Linked DNA regions of Canis lupus familiaris. The protein of the gene in region 1 purifies or fractionates together with the protein of each later gene. This does not show direct contact. Links are inferred from orthologs where the notes say so. Each region holds a gene or a part of one and is shown in the gene's direction. Other genes may lie near its edges.

What was found.
Region 2: the proteins of SPAST (region 1) and NUP98 purify together in Homo sapiens (affinity purification with mass spectrometry; 3 studies listed by BioGRID and IntAct, counting the BioPlex papers as one, with this or other methods). This does not show direct contact. The link is inferred for Canis lupus familiaris from reciprocal best matches to the Homo sapiens genes SPAST and NUP98.
Region 3: the proteins of SPAST (region 1) and NUP85 purify together in Homo sapiens (affinity purification with mass spectrometry; 3 studies listed by BioGRID and IntAct, counting the BioPlex papers as one, with this or other methods). This does not show direct contact. The link is inferred for Canis lupus familiaris from reciprocal best matches to the Homo sapiens genes SPAST and NUP85.
Region 4: the proteins of SPAST (region 1) and NUP133 purify together in Homo sapiens (affinity purification with mass spectrometry; 3 studies listed by BioGRID and IntAct, counting the BioPlex papers as one, with this or other methods). This does not show direct contact. The link is inferred for Canis lupus familiaris from reciprocal best matches to the Homo sapiens genes SPAST and NUP133.

Annotation. Positions count from the first base shown.
Region 1 is NC_049238.1:25,454,872-25,463,053, forward strand, and holds part of SPAST (spastin), read left to right. Parts: intron 1-3,992; coding exon 3,993-4,180; intron 4,181-4,796; coding exon 4,797-4,930; intron 4,931-5,224; coding exon 5,225-5,318; intron 5,319-8,182. UniProt on the Homo sapiens protein: ATP-dependent microtubule severing protein that specifically recognizes and cuts microtubules that are polyglutamylated.
Region 2 is NC_049242.1:26,381,821-26,390,002, reverse strand, and holds part of NUP98 (nuclear pore complex protein Nup98-Nup96), read left to right. Parts: intron 1-2,831; coding exon 2,832-3,014; intron 3,015-3,725; coding exon 3,726-3,882; intron 3,883-5,524; coding exon 5,525-5,954; intron 5,955-8,182. UniProt on the Homo sapiens protein: Plays a role in the nuclear pore complex (NPC) assembly and/or maintenance. NUP98 and NUP96 are involved in the bidirectional transport across the NPC. May anchor NUP153 and TPR to the NPC.
Region 3 is NC_049230.1:6,158,944-6,167,782, reverse strand, and holds the start of NUP85 (nuclear pore complex protein Nup85), read left to right. Parts: upstream 1-3,164; 5' UTR 3,165-3,419; coding exon 3,420-3,452; intron 3,453-7,106; coding exon 7,107-7,200; intron 7,201-8,839. UniProt on the Homo sapiens protein: Essential component of the nuclear pore complex (NPC) that seems to be required for NPC assembly and maintenance. As part of the NPC Nup107-160 subcomplex plays a role in RNA export and in tethering NUP96/Nup98 and NUP153 to the nucleus.
Region 4 is NC_049225.1:10,202,218-10,209,498, forward strand, and holds the end of NUP133 (nuclear pore complex protein Nup133), read left to right. Parts: intron 1-32; coding exon 33-121; intron 122-3,742; coding exon 3,743-3,879; 3' UTR 3,880-4,785; downstream 4,786-7,281. UniProt on the Homo sapiens protein: Involved in poly(A)+ RNA transport. Involved in nephrogenesis.

The DNA of each region.
Region 1 (8,182 bases):
GTGTATAAATATGTAACATATAACAATTCTCAACATGCTTTATTTGCTTATTTTGCAACCTTCCATTTTTGAGATTAAAAAATGTAAAGGTTCATTTTTCTAAATTATTAAAATATTCTTTTCTTTCTATTGTATTTTCAGCTTTTGCAGGGTTTTTTTGTTTGTTTGTTTGTTTTTTTTAATGTATACCTGTACCAAGTTCTCATGAGATAATGTGTTTTTAGGGCAGAAATTTTAATTTCTCTGTTATATATCAATTTTAATTGCACAGCAATTTTCATATATACTACATATGAATGTTTTATCATAGTACCTATTAGGAAAAATTTAAGGCTGAGTTCACATAGCGAGGGGTAACATTAGAATACTATTTCAATATATGTGCTACCAAAGTGAGCACACATTAGAATACTATTAATTTTCTATGGGTTAAATTTGTTTTCCATGAACTTTGGGAATCTTACAGAAGATTACATGCTTTTTTGTTTTGTTTGGATGGGGCAGGGGGAACCTTCATTTCCTAAGTTCTCTGACATCTTGGCTAGTTTTATTGGCGACTTTTTCAGCATTAGTTTTCTGTCCAGGGCTTAAATTTTCTTAAAGTAAATATTGTTTTGTTCATTTTGTAACAGAAAAACCTTAGTTTAGACCTTACAACAACTGCCTTCTTCATTCATATGTAATACAGAACTTTTAAAACTTTAATAGAGAAGAATTACAGTTAGTGGATTTCAATGGACTGGAGACAGTAAGTCATCAAATCTTCCCCTCTGGCTTTACCTCCCTCTTAAAGGAGTTCTCACTTTGGTTTAGTCTTCCAGTACAGAGCCCTATGTCACTGGCTATATTCCTTTTCCTATTTCTTCCTGAACATGATTTAAAACACTATTTCGAGTATAGAAGTAGTTTGCCTGTTTCTCTTAACACAGATGTGAAGAGCTGAGATTTGTTTAAGGAACTTTAAAAATATATAAGAATGTACCACATATAAATAATTCAGTTTACAAGATATAAATTTGAGATCTTAGTAATCCTACCAAGGTAAATAACAAAAATTTTCTAGCCCTGAAGAGCTGGTATGCCTTTCTTTTGTTATCTTGCTTCTCTTCCACTTCATTCCATATATGAGATCCCACGGTTTTGTTTTGCCATGCAAAACTTTATTTTCCTGGGATCTATATTAAAAAAAAATCACCGTATCTTATTTTAAATACCTAGTAATCTGACTGTTCTATTCTATTTTCTTGTTGGGGGACATATTGACTGCACAGCTAATTTATGCAGCACTGGTAATTGATACCCATTGAGCCCTAGTCAATGAGCTGGCTCATTCAAGCCTATTTTACTGGTGTCACCCACTTCTGGAATATTCTGTGATATTTCATTTAGATGAGTTACTTCGTCTCTCTTAGGAAATAGTTATGCCGAAGTCCACTTACTACTTCAGTATCTTACCTACAATGTCTAGTTTTCAACCCAAAATTACTAGACATGTAAAAAAATAAGAAAGTATGACCATTACTCAAGAAAAGAATTAGTCAATAGAAACTGACTCTTGACTGGGCCCAGATGTTGATGTAGCAAAGACTTCAAAGCAGCTTTTATAAATATGTTCAAAGAATTGACATATGGCATCAGTTAACAAACCTGCAATTTTAGGACATAACATAAACTACACAATAAAAATAATGGAAATTCTAAAGTTGAAAAGTACAGTTGCTGAAATAAAAAATTTACTAGATAAGTTTACCAGCAGATTGGAAATGTCAAATGATTCAGTGACTCTGAACCTAGATCAATAGAAACTACTAAATCAGGTGACTCCTACTTTGTTAGAGAGCAGATTAGTAATTGCCTAGGTCGGGGCAATAAGGGATGGAGTGCAAATGAATATAAGAAAACTTGGCTACAATGGAAACATTTCATATCTTGATGTTAGTGGCTATTTGATCTTTAAATGCATCTTTATAAACTTATCAAATTATACATTTTAAATGGATATAATTTATTCATAGATTGTAACTTAAATGGTTGATGAAAAAATAAATACTGAAAGGCTTGTAAAGAAAAATAGTATTCTTCCTACCTCTTCCTAATTTCTTCCTGCCTTTACCCCTAGTCTGGCTTCTCATATAATGTCTCACTCTATTTTTTGTGTTCTACTATGTTTCTAGATAATATGCTTAGGTTGCTATTACTGATCGGTATACTATTTTGATGTGCATTGACTTCTTATTCAGTAAAAGAAGGTTTAATTTTTATACCAACATTACCCTTCATCTTCTGATATATAAATATCACTATTTTTAGTTATACTGAAAAATCAAATTTAACATTATTATGATTTAGTATTATATACCTAAAACTAAATAGTATATTCTAATTATGCTTCCTTTTTTGAGTTTTTCCTTCCCATAGATTCCTAATTTCTTTGTTTGCTTTTTTAACTAAAAGACCTTCTTTAGGGCAGCCCTGGTGGCTCAGTGGTTTAGTGCTGCCTTCAGCCCAGGGTGTGATCCTGGAGACCCGGGATCGAGTCCCATGTCGGGCTTCCTGCATGGAACCTGCTTTTCCCTCTGCCTGTGTCTCTGCCTCTCTCTCTCTCTCTCTCTCTCTCTCTCTCTCTCTGTGTCTCTCATGAATAAATAAATAAAATCTTCAAGAAAAAAAAGACCTGCTTTAGTAGTTCTTTCAATGAAAATTTGTAGATTGTAACCTTTCTTAGTCTTTCTATTGCCTGAAATATCCTTATTCTGATGTGACAGGTTACCAGGATATAAAATTGATAAAGGTTAACACTTTTTTCTTCCTATAGCATTTTGAACATAATCCATTGCCTACTGACCTTTCTTCTTTTTAATGAAAAGTCTCCTATCATTCTCATAGTTCCTTGTGGAATTTCCTATTCACTTAGTCTCAGGACTGTATATTTATTGTCTGAAGAAATTCTTTCCCACTTTCCTTTTTTTCCCTTAAAATGAATGATCTTTATCTTTAGCCTAGACAGATTTTGCTCTTTTTCATGTCTTTGCTTTTGCTTATTGTTATTCCCCTTTCTAGATTGCTTTCCTGCTTTTTGTCCTTTAGGGTTGCTATTCATTAGTTCCTTGAACATATGATTCAGAACTTTACATTTATTTATAGCAAAAAGCTCTTGATCACCTTGCTCTATTCTGAAGTCCTTTCCTTTGAATTTCATTAAAACACTTTAAGGGATTTGATAAACACAAAAATAAGGTTTTTGTCTTTTTTCTAGGCTATTGTAATTTGATTACTGATTTAACATTTGTCTTTACTGTAATCATTGTTATTAGTAACTGATGTTTGTTATGTAGTTTATAAAAATATTAGAAGCAATGAGATTTGAACATTTGAAATCCTGTAGTTTATGTAGAAGTGCAATACAGATAAGTCAGGTATACTTCTAGGTTTAATTGATGGTGTTTCATATGTTTATCTACATACATACAGCATGCAGAATACTTGGCATATTAAACACCACATCTTTATACCCCTTAAATTAAAAATGATTATTTCTAGAAACTCTTTTGGTGGGCACAGACTGTGGACTTTCATACTATTTTACAGTCTTAATTTGGAACCAAGGTAGTACAGTACTCCTCCACCCCATACAACATAACTCTAATCCTTTACTGCATTTTGTTTCTTGACAATATTTGGGAACTTCGTTTGGTAATCTTTTTATATCCTCTTCCTGTTCCCACAAATAAACATGTTTTTTCTTATTACAAATACATATTCCTTATAAGAAAATCAAAATAATACATCAGGAAAAGGAAAAACATAAATAACTATAGTCTTGTCTACCAAAGTGATAACCCTGATGAACATTTAAGTAGATATTCTAATTAATATCTTATTTTGAAATATTGCTAATGTAAAAAATAGTTTTGCAAATTTGAATCCATCTTTATTTTATATTATTTAGCCACAGTTTTCTAACCATGATGGTTTTACTTTTTCCTTGATAGAAAGTGGAGCTGTTCCAAAGAGAAAAGATCCCTTAACACACACTAGTAATTCACTGCCTCGTTCAAAAACAGTTATGAAGACTGGATCCACAGGTTTGTCAGGCCACCACAGAGCACCTAGTTGTAGTGGCTTATCCATGGTTTCTGGAGTGAGACAGGGACCTGGTCCTGTAACTGGAACTCATAAGGTATTTGGAGACAGTCACTTTTAATTGCTATGCTTTTGCAAATAGACAATTTTGAACACGATATGCTTGCTTGAGATTATTAGAAGTAATTTGTAATATCTTAGAGAATTGATAAGTTTCTAGAAAGTTGAATATAGTTTTCTTTTTTAAATCTGCAAAGAATTTGCTATTAAAATCAAATCTTATTTTAACTTCCTTGGACCTAATTAGGTATTTTGTTATAAGTTGCTTGTCTAATCTATTTTATATAATGCTGTATAGTTAATTTTAAATTTGTTATTTTAATTGTTTAATGTGTTTTATAACATTAAACATAGAGTTTTGTTCGAATCCTAACAATCAAAATTATATGACTGAATTGTCAGAGGCCCTTTTTATTTTATGGTACCTAAATCTCTCTGGATGAAATCCCCTATAAACCCACTTCATGCCAAATGTAGTTCTGTAGTGAATACATTTTACCTTGAAGTGGATATACAATTTTGGGGTTTTTTAATATCCTTTTTCCTATATTTAAAACTTTTAATTCTGTGAATTTTAAGGCCAATTTTAACTTACTTATGACAAGTGTTAATGTTAGGTTGTATTTTTACATTGCAATTTTGTGTCCTTTAAGAGTACGCCAAAAACAAATAGAACAAATAAGCCTTCTACCCCTACAACTGCTGCTCGTAAAAAGAAAGACTTGAAGAATTTTAGGAATGTGGACAGCAATCTTGCTAACCTTATAATGAACGAAATTGTGGACAAGTAAGTTTTTGCCATCTAAAGTGTTTTATTTAACAGTTTTTAGTTTTGAATTTATCTATACAATATATCATGAGTAAGATAGAGTATCTTCTCTAATGTACATAATTTTTATGGTGGTTTTTAGTTACTGTAAATGTAGAAAACTATGGTTTTACTAATTAAACTATAATTTCACAGTTAACATAAAAATAATTGTATTTCAAAAAAATAATTGTATTTCATTAAGTTTAAATTTTATATTATAATAACTGAATCATATTTTGTCATAGAGCTAACTGAAATTCTATTTCTTAGTGGAACAGCTGTTAAATTTGATGATATAGCTGGGCAAGAATTGGCAAAACAAGCCTTGCAAGAAATTGTTATTCTTCCTTCTCTGAGGCCTGAGGTAAACACTTTATATTACCATTTTCCTTTTTTTTTTTTATAAATTTTTTTAAATTTTTATTTATTTATGATAGTCACACAGAGAGAGAGAGAGAGAGAGAGGCAGAGACACAGGCAGAGGGAAAAGCAGGCTCTATGCACCGGGAGCCCGACGTGGGATTCGATGCCGGGTCTCCAGGATCGCGCCCTGGGCCAAAGGCAGGCGCTAAACCGCTGCGCCACCCAGGGATCCCCTATTACCATTTTCCTATAACATCATTCATTATTTTTTTTTCAGCATTCATTATTGAATCCATATTAGCAGTAATCTGTGAGTTACACTAGATAGAAATGATTAATGGATGTAACAGACTGGATGTTTTTAAAAAGAAAGAAATATTAGCAATTGATGCTGACTGGTTATTATAGGAGTGACTATATAGGTTCCTAATAACCAATCCATTTTTAACATTTAGAGAAAAAAGTAGGTAATAGAAAATAAGTTTTACATTAAGGTAAGAGAGATTTAAAATTATGAGCCAGAAATCATACTGGAGAAAAGGGAAGTTAGGATTAAATTAATAAGTTTAAGTTTGAAGAATTTTATCAAAGTATAGTTGAAATACAATGTTATAGGAGTTGCTGGTGTATAACATAATGATTTGACAATTCTGTACATTAAGTTATACTCACTATATGATAAGTATAGTTAACCATATGTCACCGTACAATATTACTGCAATATTATTATTTTTTTGATTATTTATTTATTTATTCATGAGAGAGAGAATGAGAGGCAGAGACACAGGCAGAGGGAGAAGCAGGCTCCATGCAGGGAGCCTGATGTGGGACTCAATCTTGGGTCTCCAGGATCACACCCTAGGCTGATGGCAGCGCTAAACCGCTGAGCCACCCGGGCTGCGCCTGTAATATTACTGACTATAGTTCCCATGTTGTACTTTTCATCCCCATGAATTATTATTTTGTAACTAGAGATTTGTATCTCTTAATTCCCTTCACCTATTTTGCTTGTCCCTTTAGCTCCCTCCCCTCTGGCAACCACCAGTTCTCTGTTTTTATGATTTTGTTTCCATTTTGTTTGTTCTGATCATAACAATAAAAACAACAAAATGGTAATTATGTGAGGAAAAGGATGTATTAACCTCATTGTGGTAAATATTTCACAATTTATTTGTGTGTCAAATTATATTGCACATGTTAAAATTACACAATGTTATATCTCAATAAAGCTGGAAATTTTTAAAAACCAAAAAATGCTGAGTAATTAGAAATGTGTCTTTGGCAAAAGAAAGACAAATAGATCAGTAGAACAGAATAGAGAGCCCAGAAATACAGAGACACAAGTATTATCAATTGAAAAAGGCACAAAAGCAATTTGATGGAGAAAGGATAGTATTTTCCACAAAACAACAACTAAACATCCATGTGAAAAAAAGTTCTAGACATATACTTTACACCTTTCACAAAAGTTAATTCAAAATTGGTCACAGACCTAGATGTAGAAGGCTAACTATAAAACTCCTAGAAGATAACATAGGAAAAAATCTAGGTGATCTTGGTTTGAGGATGGCTTATTAGATACAACACCAAAAACATGATCCTTGAAAGAAAAAGTTGTTAAGTTGAAATTCATGAAAATTAAACACTTTTCTGTGAAAGACATTTTTTTTTTTTAGATTTTATTATTCATGACAGACATAGAGAGAGAGGCAGAGACACAGGCAGAGGGAGAAGCAGAGACACAAGCAGAGGGAGAAGCAGGCTCCATGCAGGGAGCCCGATGTGGGACTCGATCCCAGGACTCCAGGATCACACCTTGGGCCAAAGGCAAGTGGCTAAACCGCTGAGCCACCCAGGGATCCCCTGTGAAAGACATTGTTAAGAGAATGAGAAGACAAACCACAGACAAGGAGAAAGTCTTTGCAAAACATTATTTGATATAGGACTGGTATTGAAAAATATACAAAGAACTTTTAAAACTTGAACAATAAAGAAGAAAAATGACCCAGGTAAAGTGTGGACAAAAAATATGAACAGACACTTTACCAAAGAAGATACACAGATGACAAATAAGCATTTGAAAAAATAGGGAAGCCTGGGTGGCTCGGTGGTTTGGTGCCTGTCTTCAGCCCAGAGCGTGATCCTGGAGATACGGGATCGAGTCCCACATCAGGCTCCCTGAATGGAGCCTGCTTCTCTCTCTGCTTGTGTCTCTGCCTCTCTGTGTCTCTCATGAATAAATAAATAAAAATAAAATCTTAAAAAAAAAGAATGCTCAACATCATTCATCATTAGGGAATTACATGTTAAACAACAGTAGGATTCCACCTCACATTTATTAAAATGGCTACAATCCAAAACACAGTACCAAATGCCGGTGTGGATGTGGAGCAATAGGGACTCTACTCATTACTGAAGGGAAGGCAAAATGGTACAGCTACTTTGGAAGACGGTATGACACTTTAATTTTTTTTTTAATTTTTTAAATTTTTATTTATTTATTTTTTTAATTTGAGAGAGAGAGTGCGCATGAGAGCAAGCATGAGCAGAGGGGGAGGGCAGAAGGAGAGGGGAAAGCAGACTCCCCACTGAGCGAAGAGCCTGACATGGGCCCCAGGATCATGACCTGAGCTGAAGGGAGATGCTTAACTGACTGAGCCATCCAGGTGCCCCAACACTTTTCTTAACAAGCAAGCACTTGGTTTTACCTCACTCCACTGAGGAATTTACCACACTTTGTCAGATCTCCCTCTGCAAAATTTTGTGTCTTCTGTTGTCTCCTTTCTTATTCTTTTAGAAGATTTATATTTTCTTTATTCATTTACTATTATTTTGGTGAGATTTCAAAGGAAGTAGAGAAGCATA
Region 2 (8,182 bases), on another chromosome or scaffold:
TGCAGTTAGGAAACCAGTTATTTTGGTAGCAGGCAACAGTAATAGTTATACTAGATAAAACTGAGGGGAAGGACAGTATGAATTATTTAAATATCTGTTTGACCATGGATTGGTTTTTCACCCTTTTTTGAATAAAGGATGTCATGATTTACTTTACCTACTTGAATTACTTTATGTTCTAGATTAAGAGGTGCTTTATTTTCAGGGTTTGGCAGCTTTGTATGAGGAATATTCTCTTGAGGTGGAAAGTGAAGGTTCCTAAAATCATTGAAGGTTTTCTTTTTTTTTTTTTTTTAAGATTTTATTTATTCATGAGAGACACAGAGAGAGAGGCAGAGACATAGACAGAGGGAGAATCAGGCTCCATGCAGGGAGCTCGATGTGGGACTCAATCCTGGGACTCCAGGATCACACGCTGAGCCGAATGCAGATGCTTAACTGCTGAGCCACCCAGGTGTCCCTCATGGAAGGTTTCATTCATGAAACTTCACTCTCCATATATCTAAAGAGACGGTCATTTTACAGATAGTACCTTTGTATGTAGGAATTGTAATATACTGTGCTGGTATTTAGACATAAGTAAGATCAACTTTCAGAGATTATAATATATGAAAGAGATATTCTGTTTGTCTGCTTTTCCCAGTATTTTATTTGCTCTTTTCCATAGATTTCCTAAGGGCTTCCTTTAAAAACAAAACCAAAAAAAAACAACTTCCTTGATCCCTTTTGAGCCATCTTTCTATTATTATTATTATTAGTCTATTTTTCTTTTCAGGACTGGCTTTGAAGAAGCACCTGATCTCCCAAGATTTCTCTGAAAATAAGTACACAGACATCTTTTGGGGGAGTTTATTGCAATTGCTTAGATATACTTTAACAAATTCACTAATGGGGGTCCTAGGAGCTTACTAGTTCCTCATAGTTTCATAGTTTCCCCCTTATCCAGTTATTACATGATACCTCATAGCTTCAAAATCTATGCATGAGGGTGGAGCAAATAAAACCTTGATACTTCTTAAAAATACTCTGGGTCCCTTAGGTCTCTAAGTCGTTTAAGGCAAAATGGGTAGATTTCATCAAATTGTTCTAAGTGAACATCTCTTGCTGCTGTTATTTCTTTGTTGAGTAGTGTAAGTTGAAACCATCCTCCCCTTTTTTCCTTTCCTCCCACCCATCTTCACTCCTTGTTCTTTCATATTATCAATTGCTTTTGCTACTGTGTGCCAGGGATCACACTAGGCAGTAGAATTGATGAAGAGAATATCCGATGAATGTTGACTTTAACAATATGCTTGATAATAGATACAGAGAATAAAAGTAGGCTATAATCTGTTTCCAAGCCTTGACAATGTGGTGGGACAAATAAATACTGCATATGTGAGAAATCATAATATATCATGATAAATTATTAAAAACAGTTTAGACGGGGTATTATAGGAGCCCAACAGACAGAGAGTATCCTCACTGATAGGCTGACACAGAGGATGTGAAGTAGTTTAATAACTTTTCCTAAAAGTGAATTGGTTAAAAACTAACTTGTGAAGGAACCTTTGGAGTTAGAGTGTTCCCACAGTTCTTGTAAGTAAAATAGGAACATTGTGACCAAGTCTACTTTTTTATTTTTTTAAAGTTGAAAAAGTTACATTAATGGCTATTTCTTTGTCCACAGTAACCATGAAATTATTTTTTTAAACTACCTGTTAACATAATAGCATCAATTTGAAGGTCTCTGTGAAATAGGCCACTTATGAAGATAAGCCTCAAACTTTGGAATATTAATAATCTACAGATGATACCATGATAAAAATAATTAGTAAAACTTTTTGATTTTGAGAATGTTTCATAAATTGGTTTAGCCACTTGATACCATTTTATCAGATGTACTATGCAAGTTTAGGATATACTTAATGAATTTGTGCTGAACCAGTTATTTTACAGTGTCCTACAGATTGATGAGTTATTACCTTTCCAGATCATAAACTGTTAGTCATGAGTATATCTTGAAAACTGCTTAATAAATGTAAATCTAATTCTAAGCACTTGAACAAAAGGATTATTCCAAGATTCTATTGTTCCTAGGGGCACCTGGCTGGCTCAGTCAGTAAAGCATGGGACTCTTGATCTTAGGATCAGCAGTTCAAGCCCCCACCTTAGGCATAGAGCTTATTTTAAAAAACAAAACGAAAAAGAAAAACACCAAACAGTTCCTAATATTACTTTGTTTTTCCTTTTGGGAAAATAAACATTGTATCTTATATGGTACTACATATATAGAGCCCAGCTGACTTTTAGGATTCGGTTACCCAAAAAGTAAACTCCAGGCCCCAAATTATGTTCACTGGAAATTTATTTCTAATTGTTTTCATTTTAAAAATGCCAAGTTGTTGGAGACCTTTTAATCTCTTTTCCCAAAGGCTTCTGGCTACAAGGCAGTGTAAGGGCAGGGTTATCCTGTGTATATCAGAAAATTATATTTGCTAGCTAAATCAGGTAAGGCATAATCTTTGTCTAAAGACCACTATTTAAAAAAATAATAATAATAATAAAGACCACTATTTGCTCAGTATGGGGCTTCGGATCCAGACACCAGACCTGCATATATTACAAAAGGGTGATTTCAGGAATCTGTATTTGGACTCCCAAGTACATATAGAGGGGATTTAGGATAATTATTGTTGAAGCCTTTTTAGCAAACATGCTATCTTGCATTGTCGCAGGATCAGCAGAATCTAGTCCTGCTATATCATGTTCTGAATGAACTAAATGTGGTCTAAAAGCTGTCTGTCTGGTGTAATTTAATGCTGCTTCCCTGATCTTTCTGCTGTCTACAGAGCCAGAGCCCAGAGGTGGAGCAGTTAGGGAGGGTTGTGGAGCTGGACAGTGACATGGTAGATATCACCCAGGAGCCAGTTTTGGATTCCATGTTAGAAGAGAGCGTGCCTGAGGATCAGGAGCCCGTGTCTGCCTCAACACACATTGCGTCTTCACTGGGAATTAATCCACATGTCTTACAGGTGAAGTCCTAACCCACCCTTCCTACAACAGGAAGCCAAACTGCTCTTTACCTCCCGTGCATAACCTTGGGCTGCTTCTTTAATTATTGACTGAAGAGCATTGACTGGTCATTGGAATGAGAAAAAAAAAACAAGAATATGGACCATGTTTGGGCCTCATTTTTCCATTCTGGGAGGGAAGGGGAACGTTATATTGAAATTCAGAAGACCTGGATTCCAACCTCGGTTTTGTAACTATTACCATGTGACTTTAGACAAGTCCTTTAACATCTGTGAGCACTGATTTTTCTCTATAAAATATACTTTGTTTCCTCCCTAGGGTGGTTTTGAGGCTCTAGAAAGTGCTCCATAAAAGTTTTCTTAATAAGCTGGTAGATACTGGTTTCTTTAAACTCTATCTCAACTTCCCCCTACCTGTGCCTTTTGGCATGCTATAAGTTTAGCCTTTGTCTTATATTTGAAGTTAATCATTCAGCAAACAGATGGGCAATTGCTGTGTGCCAGGCTTTGGCAAGACTCTAGATACAAAAAGTATTCTATAATTTCTACCCTTCAGGTACATACAGTATAACAGAGTCAGCCACACAAATATACTAGCTCTGGACAGAGCCTGTAGGAAGAGCAGTTTATTGATTATTGGAAACTGCATTTTTCTTTTTTGGCCTTTGGATTTCAGGGAACACATTCATTCTATAGATATTGCCTTTTTAGATCATGAAAGCATCATTGCTTGCTGATGAAGAAGATGTAGATATGGTTCTGGATCAACGCTTCAGTCACCTTCCTTCTAAAGCAGATACTTCTCAAGAAATCTGTTCTCCCAGACTCCCCATTTCAGCATCCCACTCATCAAAATCCCGTTCTTTAGGTACTGTAAATGATGCTATTTTACAAGAAAGCTGTAAAGTCCTGCTTTTCACCTGTCTTCTAAGTTGAGTCAGCTTCTCTAGCGAATATCCCCCTAAAGACATATGATAATAAGGATGTCAAGAGGAGATGTATTCTTAGAAATTTGTTAGGTGGGCCAGTTTTGGGTTTCTTTTTTTTTTTTTTTTTTTTTTAAGATTTTATTTATTCATGGGGGTGGGGGGGGGCAGACACGCAGGCAGAGGGAGAAGCAGGCTCCATGCAGGGAGCATGATGTGGGCCTCAATCCTGGGTCCCCAGGACCATGCCCTTGGCCAAAGGTGGTGCTAAACCGCTGAGCCACCCAGGCTGCCCAGTGGGCCAGTTTTTAAAAGCCATAATCAGCTTTATTGGTGTAGATGAAGAAGTTTTGTGGAACACAAAGCATTTGTGTTTTGTTTGGGTTATGTCTTTATTTGCCTATGAATGTGGATTAGGTAGTAAGCTCAGATTTCCTCATTTTTATCATATTTTAGAGGAATAAGCAAATTGTCCTGCACTGTACTCTTTTTGGGCAATCCTCATGCTATCCTTATTTTATTGCCTTCTGGGGGCAAATGTTGCTTCTTAAAATGCACAGTAACTTGTCAGATTTCTACCTTTTCCTAAATCTCCCTAAATTCCTAGGGAAGTAATATTTGACTTTAAAGCTTTCCCTTCTCGTGGGCTTCTAACTATGTGGAACTGAGGATAGAGGGACTTAAGTACATTTGGATTGGGGGTTTAAGGGATTTAAGTACATTTGGATTGGTTCCTTAAGCCAAGGAAACTACCAGGAAGAGATTTGTCTATGTTGTCTGAAAAACTGTTTAGTTTTCAATTCTTTCAAGTGTTAATTTCCATTTTAAAAATATTGTAACTAATAAACTACCAGTTAAACATTCATTACAACCTTTTCCATAATGGGCACTACATGAAAATCTTATACTTCAATAACTAACTCATTGCTTTAGACAGGATTAGAAAACAGGCAGTAGTAATAAGAACTGTCCTCCAAAACGTGTAAGATGTCTCGGTGGGTTTTTCTTTCATTGAGTCTAGCATTGAGTATTAGAGTGGTAGCAGTTTGAATTTAGATCTTATTAAGCTTTTTCTGTTGACTAAGAAATGGTTACATTTGACATTCTAACAAGGGTATGAACATTGGTGTTAGACTTCCCTGGGCTTCTGTCAGTGCTGCCACTTAATAGCTTTGTGGATTTGGACTAAACACTATTCTGAGCCCAATTTTTCCACCTATTAAATGAGGATAATATTGGTGTCCGTCTGAAGTTATTGAAAGGTGAAATGAAACAGTATATACAAATGGCCTACACAGAGTCACAGATAAGAGCTAAATAATTTTTTAAAATAGTAGTAGTAAAAAAACAAAATAGTAGTAGTAGTGTTTTTGATGTCAATAATTGTTGTTGGGCTCGTTGTCACTAAAATTCCTGCCTTGATTTCTTGGTTGAAAGAGCATTACACACACTGACTTGCTGCTTGTCACCAATATCTGATTTAGTTGGTTTGATAAAGCTGTGATTTCATCCTCACTGATTATTGCTGTTCGAGAAGCAATAGAGACTGTATTTTCTAATAGTCTTTTTTTCCCCCTGTTTCAGTTGGTGGGTTACTACAATCAAAGTTCACTAGTGGATCTTTTCTTTCACCAAGTGCCTCTGTACAAGAATGTCGTACTCCCAGAGCAGCATCTTTGATGAATATCCCATCCACGTCCCCTTGGTCTGTCCCTCCACCCCTGACCTCTGTGTTTACAGTGCCCAGCCCAGCCCCTGAAATTCAATTGAAAACCGTGGGTACACGCAGACAACCAGGCCTAGTTCCTCTTGAAAAGTCTGTTACCTATGGCAAGGGGAAACTCTTGATGGACATGGCCCTATTTATGGGACGCTCATTTCGAGTTGGTTGGGGACCCAATTGGACTCTTGCTAATAGTGGAGAACAGCTGAGTGGCTCACATGAACTGGAAAATCATCAGATTGCTGATTCTATGGAATATGGATTCCTGCCTAATCCAGTAGCTGTTAAATCGTGAGTCACATTTTCCTTATGCTTTTTAAGAAAGGCAACTTAGTTGGTAAGACAAAAACATTTCATTATGAAGTGACCCAAGGTCAAGGCTCTGCTTTGGTGATCTTTCTAGAAATGTTCTTAGTACAGTTTTAGATAGCAGAAGATCTTTGTATAACTAAAAACTAAACTGACAAAACATGAGAGACACCTAACTCTGGGAAATGAACAAGTGGAAGGGGGAGGTGGGCGGGGGGTTAGGGTGACTGGGTAATGGGCACTGAGGGGGCACTTGGCGGGATGAGCACTGGGTGTTATGCTATATGTTGGCAAATTGAACTCCAATAAAAAACATAAAAAAAATTAACTGAAACTGATTAATAAGATGATTCCATTGTACCATCAGGGTATGAAGAGTATATAATACTTCCTTAATGGTTAAACTTTAGTTGAAAATGTAACAGACCCAAAGCTGATACTGCAGCATTCCTTGTTTTTTTTTTTCATCCTTTTTATTGTAAGTCTTTTTTTTTCTTTTTTTTTAAATATATATATATAAGGTATCTTCTTAATTAGGCACAATTCCTATATCTTGGATCTGATAAGGTGAATGTATAAACTGTATAATCTGTACATAAGTATTTGGAAATAAGATGACATCTAATAGGGGCTCCTGGCTGGCTCAGTTGGTAGAGCATACAAACTCTTGATCTCGGCTTTCTGAGTTCAAGCCCCCCCCCCCCCACACACATTTGGTGTAGAGCTTACTTTAAAAAAAAAAAAAAAAAGATGATCATCTGATAACTGTATTATGTTATATATTACTACATAATCCTTATCATTAACATGTGTGTTTATAGTTCTATATACTTTGTCTATGTGTATGAGTGTGCATGTATATGGATCTATATATATCATGCCTATTATGTATAGTTTCTGGTAGTAATTAGGCAGTATGCATACAGTTTTGTGCAAAATATATAACATTTTCGTATTTACTTTTTATAATAAATTGTGCTGTGTCCTTTTTTTTAAGATTTTATTTAAAAAAAAGATTTTATTTATTTATTCATGTGAGACACAGAGAGAGAGAGAGGCAGAGACATAGGCAGAAGGATAAGCAGGCTTCATGCAGGAAGCCCGATGTGGGACTCGACCCCGGGACTCCGGGATCATGCCCTGAGTCAAAGTTAGACTCCCAACTGCTGAGCCACCCAGGCATCCCAAATTGTGCTTTGTTACAGATTAAATGACTGTGATTACCTATTCTTAATTTTTAAAGTTGACTTTGAAGAAACACAGAACAACAGTATCTCTTGAACCTCACAGTCAGGAATGTTGATTCTAAACCTAGGTTATGCATGATGTCATGATATTTTATAGGTTTTTAAGTTTGTTTTCTTTTTAAGATTTTATTTATTTGAGAGAGAGAGAGCACAAGCGAGGAGTTGGTGGTGAGAGGGGCAGAGGGAGAGGGAGAAGCAGACTCCCTGCTGAGCAGGAAGCCAACGCAGGGCTCGATCCTGACTCCAGCCCCAAGATCATGACTCCAGCCTAAGGCAGACACCTAACTGAGCCACCCAGGTGCTCCAATGTCATGATATTTTGAAAATTGTTAATATCAATCTTAGATCAGAGCCAGATTGATTATATGTTCATCTTAATTTAGAATCAGTTCTACAGTGTGTGTGTGTGTGTGTGTGTGTGTGTGTGTGTATATATATATATATATATATATATATATAAGCTTAGCCTCACAACTTTTGATACCTCATGAAGTATAACTTGAGAAATCAGTATCCCACAATGCCCTTTGGTCCTTGGATTTCATAATATCTAGATACATACTGAAACCAGTTCCAAGTGGAACTCTTTTTTTTTTTTTTAGATTTTATTTATTTATTCATGATAGACACAGAGAGAGAGAGAGAGAGAGAGAGAGAGAGAGAGAGAGGCAGAGACACAGGCAGAGGGAGAAGCAGACTCCATGCAGGGAGCCTGACGTGGGACTCCATCCTGGGTCTCCAGGGTCACACCCTGGACTGAAGGCGGCGCTAAACCGCTGAGCCACTCGGGCTGCCCCAAGTGGAACTATATTGATTTCCATTCTTGTTATGACCTGACCTAAAGAATAAATTTAAGCCTTTGGATTCTGAATGCATGGGCCAGACAATTTGTTTACTTAGTATATGGCAAATAAGTTCATTATAGTTTGACATTACAAAATACAATTTCTGTAAAATCATTGG
Region 3 (8,839 bases), on another chromosome or scaffold:
TAGAGATTTCTTAAATAAAAGCTTTTATTTATTTATTTTTAATAAAGATTTTATTTATTTATCCATGAGAGACACAGAGACATAGGTAGAGGGAGAAGCAGGCTCCATGCAGGGAGCCCAGCCCGATGCAGGACTGGATCCTGGGACTCCAGGATCACGCCCTAGGCCCAAGGCAGGCGCTAAACCGCTGAGCCGCCCAGGGATCCCCAGGCTTTTTTTTTTTTTTTTTTTTTTTTATGATAGTCACAGAGAGAGAGAGAGAGAGAGAGGCAGAGGGAGAAGCAGGCTCCATGCACCGGGAGCCCGACGTGGGATTCGATCCCGGGTCTCCAGGATCGAGCCCTGGGCCAAAGGCAGGCACAAAACCGCTGCGCCACCCAGGCGTTCCTGAGAATGATTCTTAGTTTGACTTTGGAGTGACTGAAAATGATTTTTAGTTGGGACTTTTGTACAATAAGTATGTTTTGTTTTAGGAGATTTTGATTCCAGAAATATTTTATTGTCTTCCTTGGGTTCTGATATATCTCAGGTTGAAGTTTCTCTTGCATAAATGAGACTCTTCAGTCTAGATACAGGAATTTAGGAGTTAAACCAAGGAATATAAGGAAAGGAGGAGCCTGAGAAGGATGAAGACATAAAGATTTGTATATTGATTGTTTTTCCAAAAGTATTCATTTATGATTATATGTAAGAAAAAGAGAATATGTAAACTATGTAATTAAACCTCATTCTTGGAAGCACATTGAGAGGGGCTAGGAGGAAGAAAAAGATCCATAGATAGAATAACTTTTTGCTCTTAGGCTAAAATATGTTTCCAATACTTTCCCCCAGTATTATCTAGCTCTACGTCAGACAATTTCAGTGCCTGTTATTTTCAAATGAGAGTTGACTTTTTACTTGTTTTTTTAATCTTTAAGTAATCTCCATACTCAACATGAGGGTGAACTCACAACCTCAAGATCAAGAGTCATATGCTCTACCGACAGAGCCAGCCAAGCACCCTTTCAAATGGCAATCTTAAAATATGAAGAAACTGTAGTACTAAAATTCTCCAAGGTCTTTTGTCATTCAAATAGTTTTTTTTTTTTTTTCCCCCCTCAGGTCTCTCTTTGAGAAAGGTGTCTTTCTTTTTGGTCTTTTATCCTATTATTTTTTTCTTTCTCCTCATCCTACTCCCTAGAATAATTTTTTCTGAAGGAAATTAGGCATGATTTCTATCAATGTCTTATTAAGTCTGACTTTTAACTTCTGCTGCTGGGAGAATTTTGAATAGCCAGAGCAGATACGGTAACCAGTTTTTTTTTTTTTTTAAGATTTTATTTATTCATTCATGAGACATAGAGAGAGGCAGAGACACAGGCAGAGGGAGAAGCAGGCTCCATGCAGGGAGCCCGATGTGGGACTTGATCCCTGGTCTCCAGGATCCCACCCTGGGCTGAAGGCGGCGCCAAACCGCTGAGCCACTGGGGCTGCCCTCAGTTTTTAAATTTTTTTTTTTTTTTTTTTTTAATTTATGATAGTCACAGGGAGAGAGAGAGAGAGAGAGGCAGAGACATAGGCAGAGGGAGAAGCAGGCTCCATGCACCAGGAGCCCGATGTGGGATTCGATCCCGGGTCTCCAGGATCGCGCCCTAGGCCAAAGGCAGGCGCTAAACCGCTGCGCCACCCAGGGATCCCTGCCCTCAGTTTTTAAAACTGATTTGCTATTGAATGTTTACTTTTCATTTTTAAAAATATTTAATTATTATCATTTTTAATTTTTATTTTTTTGGGGGGAGAGAGAGAGGGAGAGACTGAGCATGGTAGGGGAGGCAGAGGAAGAGGGAGAGAGAATCTTAAGCAGGCTCCATGCTAAGTGCAGAGCCCAACGTAGGGCTTGATCTTCCGATCCTGAAATTATGACCTGACCAAAATCAAGAGTCTGACACTTAACCCATTTTGCCACCCAGGGGCCTCAATATTTGATTTTTAAGTAAGCTCGACACCCAGTGTGATCAAGAGTCACATGTTAAAAAATAAAAAAAAATAAAAAAAAAAAGAGCTGCAGGCTTTACTGACAGAGTCAGCCAGGCACCCCCTTGAATGTTCATTTTACTTTTCAGAAAATATTAGGCCTCTTTTTACTCCCAGGAAATGGACATGAATGCTTTTCTCAGACATCATAACCACAGCACTGATGTTAGAAACACTCAAATCAGTGTAACTCTGTGAAACATTTGGAAAATGCATCAAGACATAGTAGGTAGAACTGTGGAATTTTGTGCAAAACTACATTAAAGTTCATCCTATGGATAGCTGTCTTCAGAGACCGGGATTTTTTTTTTTTCCTTTGCTTAATCTGTACCTCAATATAATAAACTATCTGGGTGACAGTGTTTTTCCCAACCACTCCAAGTCGTCTTTTTCTTCCAATTCAAATAGGCCGCTTAGAAGAACCTCCGGGAAGGGAGCGTTTTAGAATTATGTCTTGTTTTCAGATCAAATTTCTAAGTTAAAGCAGCTGCCACATCTTCAGGCAGTTTTTCCTAAGACTTACCTTTAAATTTGGATTTATCTTCAATTCGATCAAAAAGTCGCTTATTTGGGAATTTAGAACCAGTCCTATTTTCTTCCCTGTGTATGTATTTGCTAATACGGTATTCACAAAATCAATCACTCCTTTAAACAACCGGGACACTTCTGAGTTTTCCATAACAAAGGTCTGGGATTCCGTGGTTTGAGTGTCCTTTTCTCCTTTGCTTTGGTGAGATAACAAACCAGTATTTGTATTTCATTAAGCCCAGCTGTCTCGATTTCACAGTTGTTTCGGCCGCATCAATTTTGTACGCGTGCTTTCGAGCGTTTTAGGGCGGGAGTGGCGACGACCGCCTGGATGCACAAGCCCAGTGGGCCGACGGGGATTGGGCAAGGACCGGATACCGTTCAGAGAAGCAGCTGCGCCGAACTTGCAGACCAGACAGGAACGAGAAGAGCTAGAGTCAGGCGACGCCACGGGCTCGCTCACTCGGGAGCCAGGCACTGCACTCGCCTCCGGCCCCAGAGCAGCCGACTCAGCTCGCGCAGGCGCAGTCGCAGTCGCTCCGCGGCTCCCGCCGTCTCCGGGGGCCTTTACCCCGGCCGGTGCCGGGCTGCCCGCGGCGGCGCCTGACCTGGCCGAAGGTTACTGTGAGGACCGGCTACCCCGGCGCTGTTTTCCCTGTCGTGTTGTCGCCCGCCATGAAGGAGGGGCACGTGTAGAGTGTCGCGGAGGGAGGATCGTGGCCGAGAGGAGGGGCCCCTGCCGCGCCGGGGGTTTGGGCCTGCAGGCAGTGCGGGAGGCGCCCGGGAGGGGGTCCTCTCTCGCAGCCGGCTGTGAGCGGGAGGCCTGAGCCGGGAGCTTCGGCGGCCGAGCTCGTTCCAGGCTGCTGAGGCGAGGCGCAATGGAGGAACTCGACGGCGAGCCTACCGTCACGGTAAGGGCGCCTCGCACCGGCCTCGTCTTCGCGGTGTGAGGGTTGTGTCTGCTTCCACCTCCCGCGAGGCTCCCGGCCTCCTCCCTCAGCTTCGCTGCCACAGTTCGGAGGTCCCATTAGCTAGGTGCTCGTGTTTGGGTCGCAGTGGTCGCTGTTTCCCCACATTTTCGTTTACTCAGAAATGCCTGGCTCGGAGGCCTCGCTCCCTCACCCTTTCGTGTCTTCCTGACTTTCCCATCCCACTTCCCTCGCTTTTCCTATTGGACTAGCGCTCTAGTGAGCGGGCACCGACCGAGCAGAGGAACTGGGGCTTTTTTTCTTCCGCAGAACTAAGCTTCGCATCTCAATACCGTGAGCTTGGCTTCTGCCTCTTGTGCCGTGCTGGCCAGGGTTTACTAAAAGTTTTTACTCACTTCGGAAGATTTCTTGTTCTTCTTGTTCTGTTCGCTTTTAGTTCTGTCTGGACTTTAAGAAGAGTGTCAAATGTGAATGATCTATGATTTTCTTTAAACATTTTATTTATTCATGAGAGGCAAAGAGAGGCAGAGACCCAGGCAGGGGGAGAAGCAGGCTCCGTGCAGGGAGCCCCATGAGGGATTCGATCCCAGAACCCCAGGACCACGCCCTCGGCTGAAGGCAGGAGCTAAACCACTGAGCCACTCAGGGATCCCTAATTTATAATGTTTGAAAAGAGATTCGTGGCTTTTTCAATAGGAGATACCTACCATTCTGGAACACACTTTCTTTTTCTCTCAGGTTTATCTCCTCATTTTTCAGATTCAAGAACCAGCACCCTCTTTCTCAAGAAAGCCTTCCCCCTACCTCCCTGACTAGGTCAAATATTAGTCCGTTATTGACTTGTTCTGCACCTCTTAGCTCTTGGTCAGTTATAAGCCTCACTAAATTGCAGGTTGTCTGATCTTGTATTTTTGCTTTTTAGAAGGTTGAGTTGCCTGCAGTTTTCAGCGAAAGCCATCAGGTGGCAAAAGGGTGTCTGACAAAAACCAAAGATTAAAGGTGGGGGTCGTTTCAAAGCTAACTGGACAAAAGGAGACACGAGATCATAAATAGCAGTTAACTTGGGTTGTTGTTACTCTATAAAACTTACTGCTGTTAAGTGTTAAATTTTTAAGACCTATATAAAGTACTTTATTACATATCAAGGGCTATGTCAGTGTCAGTTGGAAGAAAAATCAGAATATCAGAATCACTGGAACGTTTTCAGACTATGTGTCATCTTGCCTTTCTCTCCTCCACTTATGTCAGAATCTTTGGATGGGGGCACTTTTCCAGTAACCTGCACAATCCTGGGGAGCCACTACGTTAATATTGAGCCATGATAATTAGCTATGCTTTACAAATTAAATGAAGATGATCTAAGCTTTTTTTTTTTTTAAGATTTTATTCATTTAAAAGCAAAAGATTTTATTTCAGAGAGCACAAGCAGGTAAAGGAGCAGAGAGAGAGAGAAGGGGGTGGGGAGGGAGGGAGGGAGGGAGGGAGGGAGGGAGGGAGGGAAAAAGAAGCAAGCTCCCCACAGAGCAGGGAGCCTGACACAGGGCTTGATCTTAGGATCCTGAAAACATGATCTGAGCCAAAAGCAGACAGTTAATGGACTGAGCCACTCAGGTGCCCCAATCTAAATTTATTTTTTAACACCAGTAGTGATGATGGACTTGTGATAGCTCAGATCCACACTGGTGTTAAGGAGACCAGATAGGAAACAGGCCTGGGCGGAAGGTGGCACTAAACTGCTGAGCCACCCGGGCTACCCTATTTATTATTTTTTAAAGATTTTATTTATTTATTCATGAGAGACACAGAGAGGCAGGGACCCAGGCAGAGGGAGAAGCAGGCTCCCTGTGGGGAGCCCGATGAGGGACTCCATCCCGGGACTCCAGGATCACGACCTGGGCTGAAGGCAGATGCCCAACCGTTGAGCCACCTAGGCATCCCACGTACCATATTTTTAAAAATAATGAATTGTAAGACTTCTTTTTATATTCTATATATCAAATACGTGTTTTATCCCAGTCTGTGGCTTCCCTTTTCATTTTCTTAATTCTATCTTTTTAACAGCAAAAGCTTAATTTTGATGTCCCGGATTATAAGTTGTTCTGTAGTTTGTGCTTTTTGTGTCCTATCTTTTCTTTAAGATCAAAAAGGTTTTCTACTGTGCTTTTCCAATTTTACAGATTTTACTCTATGTTTGTGTCTAATTTGTGTTTTGTCTATGGTGTGAGGTTTATTTTTTGCATATAGATACTCATTTCCTTCAGCACCACTGTGCGTAATACTTCCCCCTTGCCTGGCCTATTCATCCATTAAGAATCTGCTAAAAAATCCTCTTTTGTGTTTATCTCTGTCTTAGCATTGCTCCACTTTTCTTACTGCCTGTTTATTGGACTTCTCAGTAGACTACTAGCTTTTGGAGGGCAGAAACTGTATTCTAACATTGTTGTATTTCTAGAGCACAGTACAGAAAAAGGCTTACTAGACATTGCTTAGTTGTTGGATGACTGCATTAGCCCTTTCTGAGAACTGACTGCACTTGTCTTGAGACCAGAATATTGCCAGCCAAATTTATTCTCTGGCAAAAATGTTTATGGAGTGCCAACTTTGTGCCAGGGTCTCTTCTAGGCAGTGAACAAGAATCCTGGAATCCCCTCCCCTTGCAAGCTTTTATGTATTTATAGGACAGATAACCATGTAGGAGAGTCATTTCAGGCACTGAAGAAATGCTGTTGTAGTCATATGAGAGTTGATGGTGACTTGGGTTAGACTGCTAGACTTGGTAAGTGGTTGGATTCAGGCTTATTTAAGAGTAGAACGGGATTTACTGATTAGACAAAGGTCGTAAGGAAAAGAGAAGAATCGAAGATTGCTCCTAACAGTTTGGGAAAGGCTTTGTCCTGGTGGGAGAGACTTGGACGTGAGCACCAAGAATCCTTTTTGGTTCTGTTGTTATGGATATAGCTCTAGAGGTTAGGTAATCTATAAAGGTGTGAATTAGGTAGTTGAGTATATAAGGCTGAGGCCCAAAGGGGTTGATCTGAGTTGGGGAGAAAAAGTCTTCATTAAAGAGATGGCACAGAAGACATGGTATTGGAGGGCTCCTTTTAGTAAGTAAACAGTTGAGTTTATTTTTTATTTTTTAATTTTTTTTTAATTTATTTATTTATGATAGTCACACACGGGGCGGGGGGGGGGGGGCGGGCAGAGACATAGGCAGAGGGAGAAGCAGGCTCCATGCAGGGAGCCCAATGTGGAACTCGATCCTGGGACTCCAGGATCATGCCCTGAGCCAAAGGCAGATGCCCAACCACTGAGCTACCCAGGTGTCCCATCCTTTTTATTTTTTTAAAATCCTCTTTTTCTAAACTATAGATTACTAAATTATATATAGTAATTGATTAAGGGCAGCTTTCCTTTATATCAACACTTGCAAAGTGGCAGGCTGGGTTGAGGTGCCTGGCAAAGCTCACTTGCTTATTCAGGGTTTAACACACTAGCTGATCTCAACCACACTCAGCTGTATATACATAGATCAGCTCTTAACTTTCATAACCATTTATTTCTAGGGTTATACTTGCAAATCAATTGAAAGCAAAGGCTCTAGTTAAAATAACAGTGTCTGTACCTTTATTTTACTAGTTGATTCCAGGAGTGAATTCCAAGATGAAGCAAATGTGTTTTGACTGGGGTCCAGGGGAGATGCTGGTGTGTGAAACCTCCTTCAACAAAAACGGTAGGTTTTTTTCCCTTATTCTCTCAGATTTAACTAACTGCGGCAGTTGAACAAACTTTGTACCATTTTCATTTTTGGAACCTTAGTTAAGATTTTTTTTTTTCTAAAGATTTTATTTATTTATTCATGAGAAACACACAGAGAGGCAGAGACACAGGCAGAGGGAGAAGCTGACTCCATGCAGGGAGCCCGACGCGGGACTTGATCCCAGGACTCCAGGATCAGGCATTTGGGCTGAAGGTGGCGCTAAACCGCTGAGCTACCCGGCTGCCCAAGTTGTTTAAGATTTTGATTCATTTATGAGATGTGGCAGATGTTGACTCTAAGGAAAAAAATTAATAATTTTTGTGGTGTGCCTTCATATTTAAAAATTTCAAGTTTTTTCCCATTCTTGACCAGAATGACTAAATTCCCTTCACAGTAGCTCCCGTACGGTGAAACCTTAGTTCTCCTAGCCCTTACCTTTGTATTATTGTGAATTTGATGAATTCTTATGGCTATTGATACAAAGCACAAAAGATCTGGAGGGTGAAATGGCTCTTCCTTGTTCTCTAAGCTCCTTCAGGTTTTGGACATGGATCTTTTCTTCCTGTGACAGACTCCTCTAGTAGCAAGATAAGGCTACATTTTGACATTTGATTTTGCTTTCTCCTTTTCAAGAGAAGTCTCTGCAAATGTTGAAGAGATTTTTTTTGCAAATCTTCGACATGTTCTTTATCCAAATGTGGAGATTTTCCTCTTTTATAAAGAGGAGATTGATCTAATGAAAGTCTTATAATTTTGGCAAATCATGGGGTGTGCAGTTCATGCAATTTTGAAGTGCTATATAGTTTTTTTTTTTTTTAATTTATGATAGTCACAGAGAGAGAGAGAGAGAGAGAGAGAGAGAGAGGCATAGACATAGGCAGAGGGAGAAGCAGGCTCCATGCACTGGGAGCCCGACGTGGGATTCGATCCCGGGTCTCCAGGATCGCGCCCTGGGCCAAAGACAGGCACTAAACCACTGCGCCACCCAGGGATCCCCCATGAAGTGCTATAGTTAAAAAAATTTTTTTCGACGTGATTTTCCTTGATTTTATTGTTGACCGTTGTCCCTGATGTTGCCAAATATTTATGGGATATTTTGGTATTAAAGATCTCAAGCTTGGCAGAACTGTAGAAGCTGCCAAAGGGACAATTGCTTAGAATAGAACCTTCTTTGAATATGTCTGGCCTCTTTTCATACTTCATGGGAAAGCTTATCAGCATTTTTAGTTTGTCCTCGATTGTTGGAAACATGAGGTTTTCTGTTTATGTCTGTTGAAATCTCATTAGAGACAAGCCATTGAACATCATCAGCTTGTTCAAGAAGCTGTTATATAAGGAATTTCCACAAGTTGGTGGTTTATAATTTATCATTATAGAGCCTTTTTATCACTGTTCCAAAATATTTTAGTCAACTCTTGATTCTTTGTTTTAGGAGTAATGGCAGTACAAAATAATATAGAAATAATATTTATTTGAATTTGAGATTATATAAAATTTCAGCTGTAAGTTTATCTTTTTTTAGGCTATTTGTTTATTTGAGAGAGAGAGAGCCCTGAAGCATGCTCATGCAAGGAGGGAGGGGCCTAGGGAGCTGAAGAAGCAGACTCGCAGA
Region 4 (7,281 bases), on another chromosome or scaffold:
CATTTTCTTCTCATTGCAATTTTGTTTTTTAGCTGGTCCAGTTCAGATGGCAAGGATGATCCAATTGAAGTATCTAAAGACAGTATATTTGTGAAAATCTTACAGAAACTTTTAAAAGATGGTAAGTGGTTTGTTAATATTGGAAATTGTATCATCGCTCCTCAGTTTTAGAAATCTGAGAATAATGGGTATTGGCTAAGGTGTCAGTGCTAGGGCAGTTTAAACAGTATCATACTCAGAGAAATGTTTTTAAAATGAAGGAAGGGGTTTTTCCTTTCCTCTCCCAGCTGAGGGAGCATGTGCGAAGGTGAAGTCTCCATCCACATAGGTCCCGGGGGACTCCAGTGGGCAAAGTCTCCATGTTGATTCAAGATGGACAAGGAATGGATTCAGATACTGGTTGTGACACCAAAAATCTGTATGATAGAAGTAACCATTTTCTTTTAATTTTTCAGTTAACTCTTGTGAAGATAGAAAACTTGAGATATAAATGAGAAATAACTTTTTGTTATATAACTGACCATACTGTGCTTAAGTACAAATTATAAAATGCTTTTATAAATCCATTTTGGACATTAACACTCTAAAATTCATTTTAGGAACAAATAAAGAGAAACAAGGGAATATGTTTTGTATATGTTTTTTACCTAAAACAGTGAGCAAAACTCCATTTGCTGATTGAGACACAAGTTAAAGGAGCTATTCTAAGGGGGAATATGAAGTAGAGGATACAGTTGACCCTTGAACAATGTGTGGTTGAGGGGTACTGACCCCCAGCACAGTTGAAAATCCACATAAAATTTTTACTCCCTAAAAACTTCACTACTGTTAGCCTGCTATTGACCAGAAGCCTTACCAATAACATAAACAGTTAACACATAACTTTGCATGTGTATTATATACTGTATTCTTACAATAAAAGAAGCTAGAGAAGAGAAATTGCTATTGAGAAAATAATAAGAAGAATACATTTACAGTAGTGTACCGAATCCAAAAAATTTGGAGCTAAGTGGACCCATGCACTTCAAACCTGTGCTGTTCAAAGATCAACTGTAGTTACCTTCACCTTTTTCCATATTACTGAGAACTTAACATATGGAGAGTGTTAGAGATGAGCAGTTTTGCACATTTTATACACATGTGGCTCCTGTTATATCATGTTCTATCAAAATGTGTCATACTAAATTCAGGCCATGTGCAAAATAAGGCTTAGAGTTTACCAGTCTTTGCAAAAAGATAAGGACATTCTTTTGGACCACATGGGAAAAATATACAGTGATAAGTTATTGTAAATTCAGTCCTCCTAAATCGATGGGACTTTAATCCATCATAGTGACATTTACACACATTTGAAAGTTTTCTATATATGTATGTATGTATGTGTATATATATATATATATATATATATATATATATATATATGCAAGAGACATTTTTTAATATACATAAAACATGGCAAACTGAGTCCCTGGTATGTAGTAGTCACTCAACAGATACTTGTCCTTTGAATGCCTACAAGTATTTTGTAGATTCAAAGCCCCAGCTCCTCTGTAATGGATTGTATTCTGCCATCTTGTATTTTAGAATTGCTGGCTTACCCTGGGAAAGTAAAAGGGGGCTCTTGGAAAGGTAGTGTGAAACCAGCCATACCACCCCATATTCGGAGGTGAAACAAAAGCAAACTCTCAACCATTTGTGTGTCAGAAGCTTTTGTTTTACAGCCCATCGGTGGTGGTCTCCTTGCATTCCTTGCTTTTCAGATTTTTAGTCGCCTTTTATAAGTGATCCAGTGAAAATACAGTTCTATGACTAGACAACTTGGAACTTGCCTAGAATTGATATGGATTTTATTTTATTATTATTATTATTTTTAAATATTTATTTTTATTTATTTATTTATGATAGACATAGAGAGAGAGAGGCAGAGACGCAGGCAGAGGGAGAAGCAGGCTCCATGCCGGGAGCCCGATGCGGGACTCGATCCCAGGACTCCAGGATCGCGCCCTGGGCCAAAGGCAGGCGCGAAACCACTGAGCCACCCAGGGATCCCCGATATGGATTTTATTTATGAAAAAGGAATGCTTGATCATCCTACATGACAGATTTAATAGTGCATTCATTTTCAAAGACAAGCAGATAACACAAAGGTTAATCAAGCCTTTTCATTGTTACAAAATAAATAAAAATTAAAAATGAGTTAAGAGATATAGCAAAAGAACCTGACTTTTGCTTGAAAGTATTTGAAATACTTGAAATTCAGAAACAGCTAAAACACCTGTAAGACTTTTTTTCTGTATTTGAAAATGAAGAAATAACTGGATATAGTTGATTTCTCTGTGCTGTTGGAGAGATTTTCCAGTTGGGCCTAATAGATTATTAGAAAGCATTTGGACTCAAATCCAATGTTTTTCATGAAGCTTGTTCTCATAAAAGTGCCACAGAATTGAGTTATTGCTCAGGGTAAGTGTTTAGTGCCTTTTAAAGGTGACTTTGCTCTTTTTGTTATTCTTAGATTATAAATCATAGGTGGGCAGCAGGAATGGAAAGTTGTGGTTTTATAGAAAGAATTACTGAATTGTGACCAAAGGACAAAAAAAAGTAGAAACTATTATGTAAATAAATACATATACACAAATGAAAGATAACAAGAAGGTAGGGACATCTGTCTTTGGAAAATTTTTAATAATACTGTAGAATAATACTATATACAGTAGTAAATGTTTTTAAAGGACAGATCCTGAAGGTAGAGAGATAAATAGCCTCAAATTTTATAGGCTTTGACAGCCAGCAATTAACTTCAGCTTGTGGAATGTATTCATCCAACAGATATGTTTAACTTACCCACATGGAATTTTTTGGTTTGTTTTTATATATTATTGAAGTACATTATACACACAAAATGCACAATCTTTGTTGAAAGTATTTTAATTGTAGTAAATGATCTATAAATATTTTGGATTTAGCCTCATAACATTTATTAATCCAGATTTTTATTATATAACAAGTACAAAAAATGGTGCTAGGCACTTTGAGGGTATTAAAAAAAAAACTCCGTATTTGATTTTGAGAACTTAATGCTAATGTGACAAGTTATATTGTCTTATTGAATTTTTTTCTAGTTTTCTTTATCAAGTGAGAAAATTTTACATGCCTCTTTGTAACTACACAAATCCTGATTCTGGCAGTTCCATTTAATCAATGTTCATTGGCTTTCCAGCTTTATAGAGGACTAATGAAGAAATGATTCTTCTCCTGTCTCATTTCAGACTGTATTTTGAGACACTATAGCTAGCTTTCATGATATTATCTCTGCTAAATTATTTCTCTATATATATAATTGGGTATATATTTAATATATATAATTCTTGAAATACTTGAATATATAATTGTTTGAAATACTTGTTTTCAGGTGATTATTAGTTGAAAACTTCCATTCTGAAGAAATGACTTACGCTATAGAGAAAAATGAAAATATTTCAGATCTTATTTAAAAGACTTTAATCAGATTGGCTGTTTTGACCACTAGGCGGAAAAATACTCAAGCACCCTCCTCTAAGTAAACAATGTCCTGTCGTTAGACCTGCAAGTATGTTTGACAGTGGAAGGAATTTAGAACAGTATTTCCCAATAGTGGAGTGACATTATATTTTAAATAGAAGCACAGATGTTGTTATCATTAATCATCTTAATTCATTTGAGAGTTTTATGAAAATAAAAAAGGACTGTGTGTTTGTGTTTATAGGTATTCAGCTCAGTGAATACTTGCCAGAGGTGAAGGACCTCCTACAAGCAGACCAGCTTGGAAGCTTAAAGTCCAATCCTTACTTTGAGTTTGTTTTGAAAGCAAACTATGAATATTATGTTCTGGGACAAATGTAACTTTTTCTGATAACAGTCACTGTTCCTGGAAATGTACATAACATAAGTCTATCTTTATAAAAATCTTAGGTCTTAAACATCTAAAAATTTGTACAGTTTTATAACGTGTTGCTGAATTTTGTATACTATATTTTAAAGCTGCTACAAAACAGCTGTGTGACTGTAGTTTTGGTTTTTTGTTATAATTTCTCTTATCCTTTTTCCATCTGAAATTTATCACTTGTGATTTCCATGCTTTCTACCCTTTCTTTCTCTCTGTCAAGGGTTCTGGAGTTCTTACTCTGGTTCTGGCTACTTGTATGCACAAAGCACTTCTAGGCCTCATTTCTGTAACTCTAAACATGAACAAGCTTGCACTGTCTCTGAAATTGCTGTAACTTTAGATGGTATATCCTGAAGAGAATCTGGAGTATGTGATGTCTGTTTTGGTTAGGGCTAGTGGGAAAGATGTAGTAAGCTAGATGTGAGATATGCTGACTTGCTGTAGGACTAGAAGACTAAACAAGTGGCAAAATTCATGTGAGCTTGAGAACTGATTAATTCACTGGGAGGATATTAAATATTTCTACATGAATAATAGAGTATTAGAGTAGTGAATAAGACCCTTCAGTGTTTTCTAACCTATCTGTAAGTTACCGTAAGTATACAGTATTAATGTTAGCTACAGTCTTCCAGTGTGGGGAATTCAGTTAACTTCATATATTTTCAAAGTGTTTTACAATGAATTCCAGCTTTACCACAGTCTGACTAATGTAAAGCATGTGTTATGCTAGAAGCCATTATAAGTTTTCTTAAAATGGCATCTGATTTACTGAAAAGTGGTGGTTCTCAAAGCTTCATTGTTCTGACCAATGTCATCACTCAGTTTTTATCAGCTTCAAATAAAGACCAGAGATTGGACAGGGAGTTGCTGGCATTTCAGACTTTGGCCCGGTTGAATGCTCACTAAACAACTTGCTCCAACAGCTGAAAAGGTCAGAAGTTAAATATGGTGAAGAGAGTCCTGTTCCTGGTTTCATAAAGTACAACCATCATGCCCTCTTCTCCTCTAGGCTTCAAATCCAGCCTTTGAACATGGTGGCAAAAACAGGTTAATGGAGCTCATTACATTAATAATGAAAGGAAAGACACTAGCAACCTTGTCTTTTTCTGTTTGCAGCTTGTGCGTTGGACAGCATCAGGGCCCAGGTTAGGAACTTACTGATGGATGCTAAGGGAAGTTAGGAAGAACTTGTCAAATGGTAGCTAAGAAATTGTTAAATTCTTATGTTATAGGACAAGGCTTTGGTTCTACATAGACATTAACAATTTTTGCCTGTATGATCCTTTTAGGTAATAATATGCTCTTGAGGATACAGGATTGTGCCCCCTTCAACATACTGCCACAAATCTAATATCCCTAGTGTGACAGGAAAGCCAGTCTGACAATGACCCTGGCCCCATTGATGGCATGATGTGGCACTACTGCTGTCACAGTATAATGCATAGTCTTAATTTGAGGGAGAGAAAGGCTCACTCTTCTAACTCTATCTTGTAGTCAGCATAGCACCAAAATAGTTGGGTTTTTAAAAATTAGTAATAGTAAAATTAAGGCTTTAAGATTTTAAATAATTTTTCTAAATTTTTAAAAATTTGTTTCACAACAGTCTTTAGCAAAGAATTGATTTTATATAAATTGAGTAATTGATAAAGACATTATAAAAGTGAGCATGTTCTCTAAGGAAAGAGAAATTTTACTGACGTGGGAAAGGTTTTTTTTTTTTTTTTTCACTCACGTTGTGCTGTTCTGAAAGTCACAGCTTGCAGCCTGATTAAATGAAACAATAACATGTTTTTGAAAGTGAGCAGCCAGCTTTGTGTGCTGAATGTTTTAAGAATTTGTGAATGTGTCAAGGATGAAGGCAGAACCAGAGATATACATAAGGGACTTGCTGAAACTCCAGTGAAGAAAAAAGCTATTGATACCCTCTATTGTAGGAATTTCATTTTTGAAGAAAATTTCAAAACTGGATTGTTTGTTTTACTTTGAGGTCTGAACCAGAGTCCTGAAGTGTTATCACCCACCAGGCACATTAGGCCTGCAGGTAAATGGTACAGCGCATTTCTCCTTTGAGGTGGATTTCTTTCTCTAGAAACAGGAACAGAAGGAAAGCCACACTGTAATGCCATCAGACTCACTTCTTATTCTGTTGTAATCCAGCACACTTGTACATTTTGAGGCTGAGGAACTACAAAAATATTAACGTAGTCCCACCTGCTTATTCCTGGACCTTTTACTTGGAGAATGCCTGAAGAGAAAATAGTTTTACTATTTCTACATAAAATCTACTCATTAATACCAAAATATTAAAAATTTTGTGTAATTCTAAAAATTTCTAAAAGATTTTTATTTATTTGACAGTATGAGGTGGGGAGGCAGAGGGAGCAGCAGACTCCCCGCCAAGCAGGGAGCCCAGTGCTAGGCTTGATCCCAGAATCCTGAGATCATGTCCTGAGCTGAAAGCAGACACAGTCCATTGAGCCACTCAGGCACCCTTAATTAATTCTAAAATTAAAAACAAAAACAAAAACCTGTAGAAATGTGTAACGTATTTTTTTCTAAGTATATGGAAGAAGATAAACCCCTGTAATCCCACCAGCTAGAAATAGCTTCAGTTACAGGTTTGAAATGTATATGAGGGACACCTAGCTGGTTCAGTCAGAAGAGCATGCGACTCTTGATCTCAGGATCATGAGTTCGAGCCCCATATTGGATATAGAGATTACTTAAAACTTTTAAAAAGTGAAATGTATCTTAGACTGGGACTGTGCATACTGTGTGTTCTATAACCTAATGTGTATTGTGAGCAACTCCATGTAGCCTTAATCCAGTGTTCCCCAGTCTTTTTCCCATTGTCATTCCTGAGGAGTTTTTAGACCCATTTTGCCCTAATCAGTCCACACACACCCCACCCCCGTGAAAGTTTAATACTGCAGATTAACTATATTTTTTATGTGCTGTGCCTCTGGAGGGCACAGATCATTGTAATATCTAATTTAAATTTTTTTCACACCCCCAAGAAACAATTCTCCCCCCTTTAAAAAACCACATCTTAATTAAATAACCACATCATGAGAGACACAGAAAGAGAAGTAGAGACACAGGCAGAGGGAGAAGCAGGCTCCATGCAGGGAACCCGGCATGGGACTCGATCCCAGGTCTCCAGGATCAGGCTCTGGGCTGAAGGCGGCACTAAACCACTGAGCCACCCGGGCTGCCCAACATCCAGTTTGTTAATGACCACATGACACTTTACCACATGGCTATGCCATGCTTTATTTAATAGTTCTCTGCCTCCTTAATGATCTTACACTTGAGAGTAAATGGTTTGGGTTGGTTTTTTTGTTTTCATTTTTACTTTA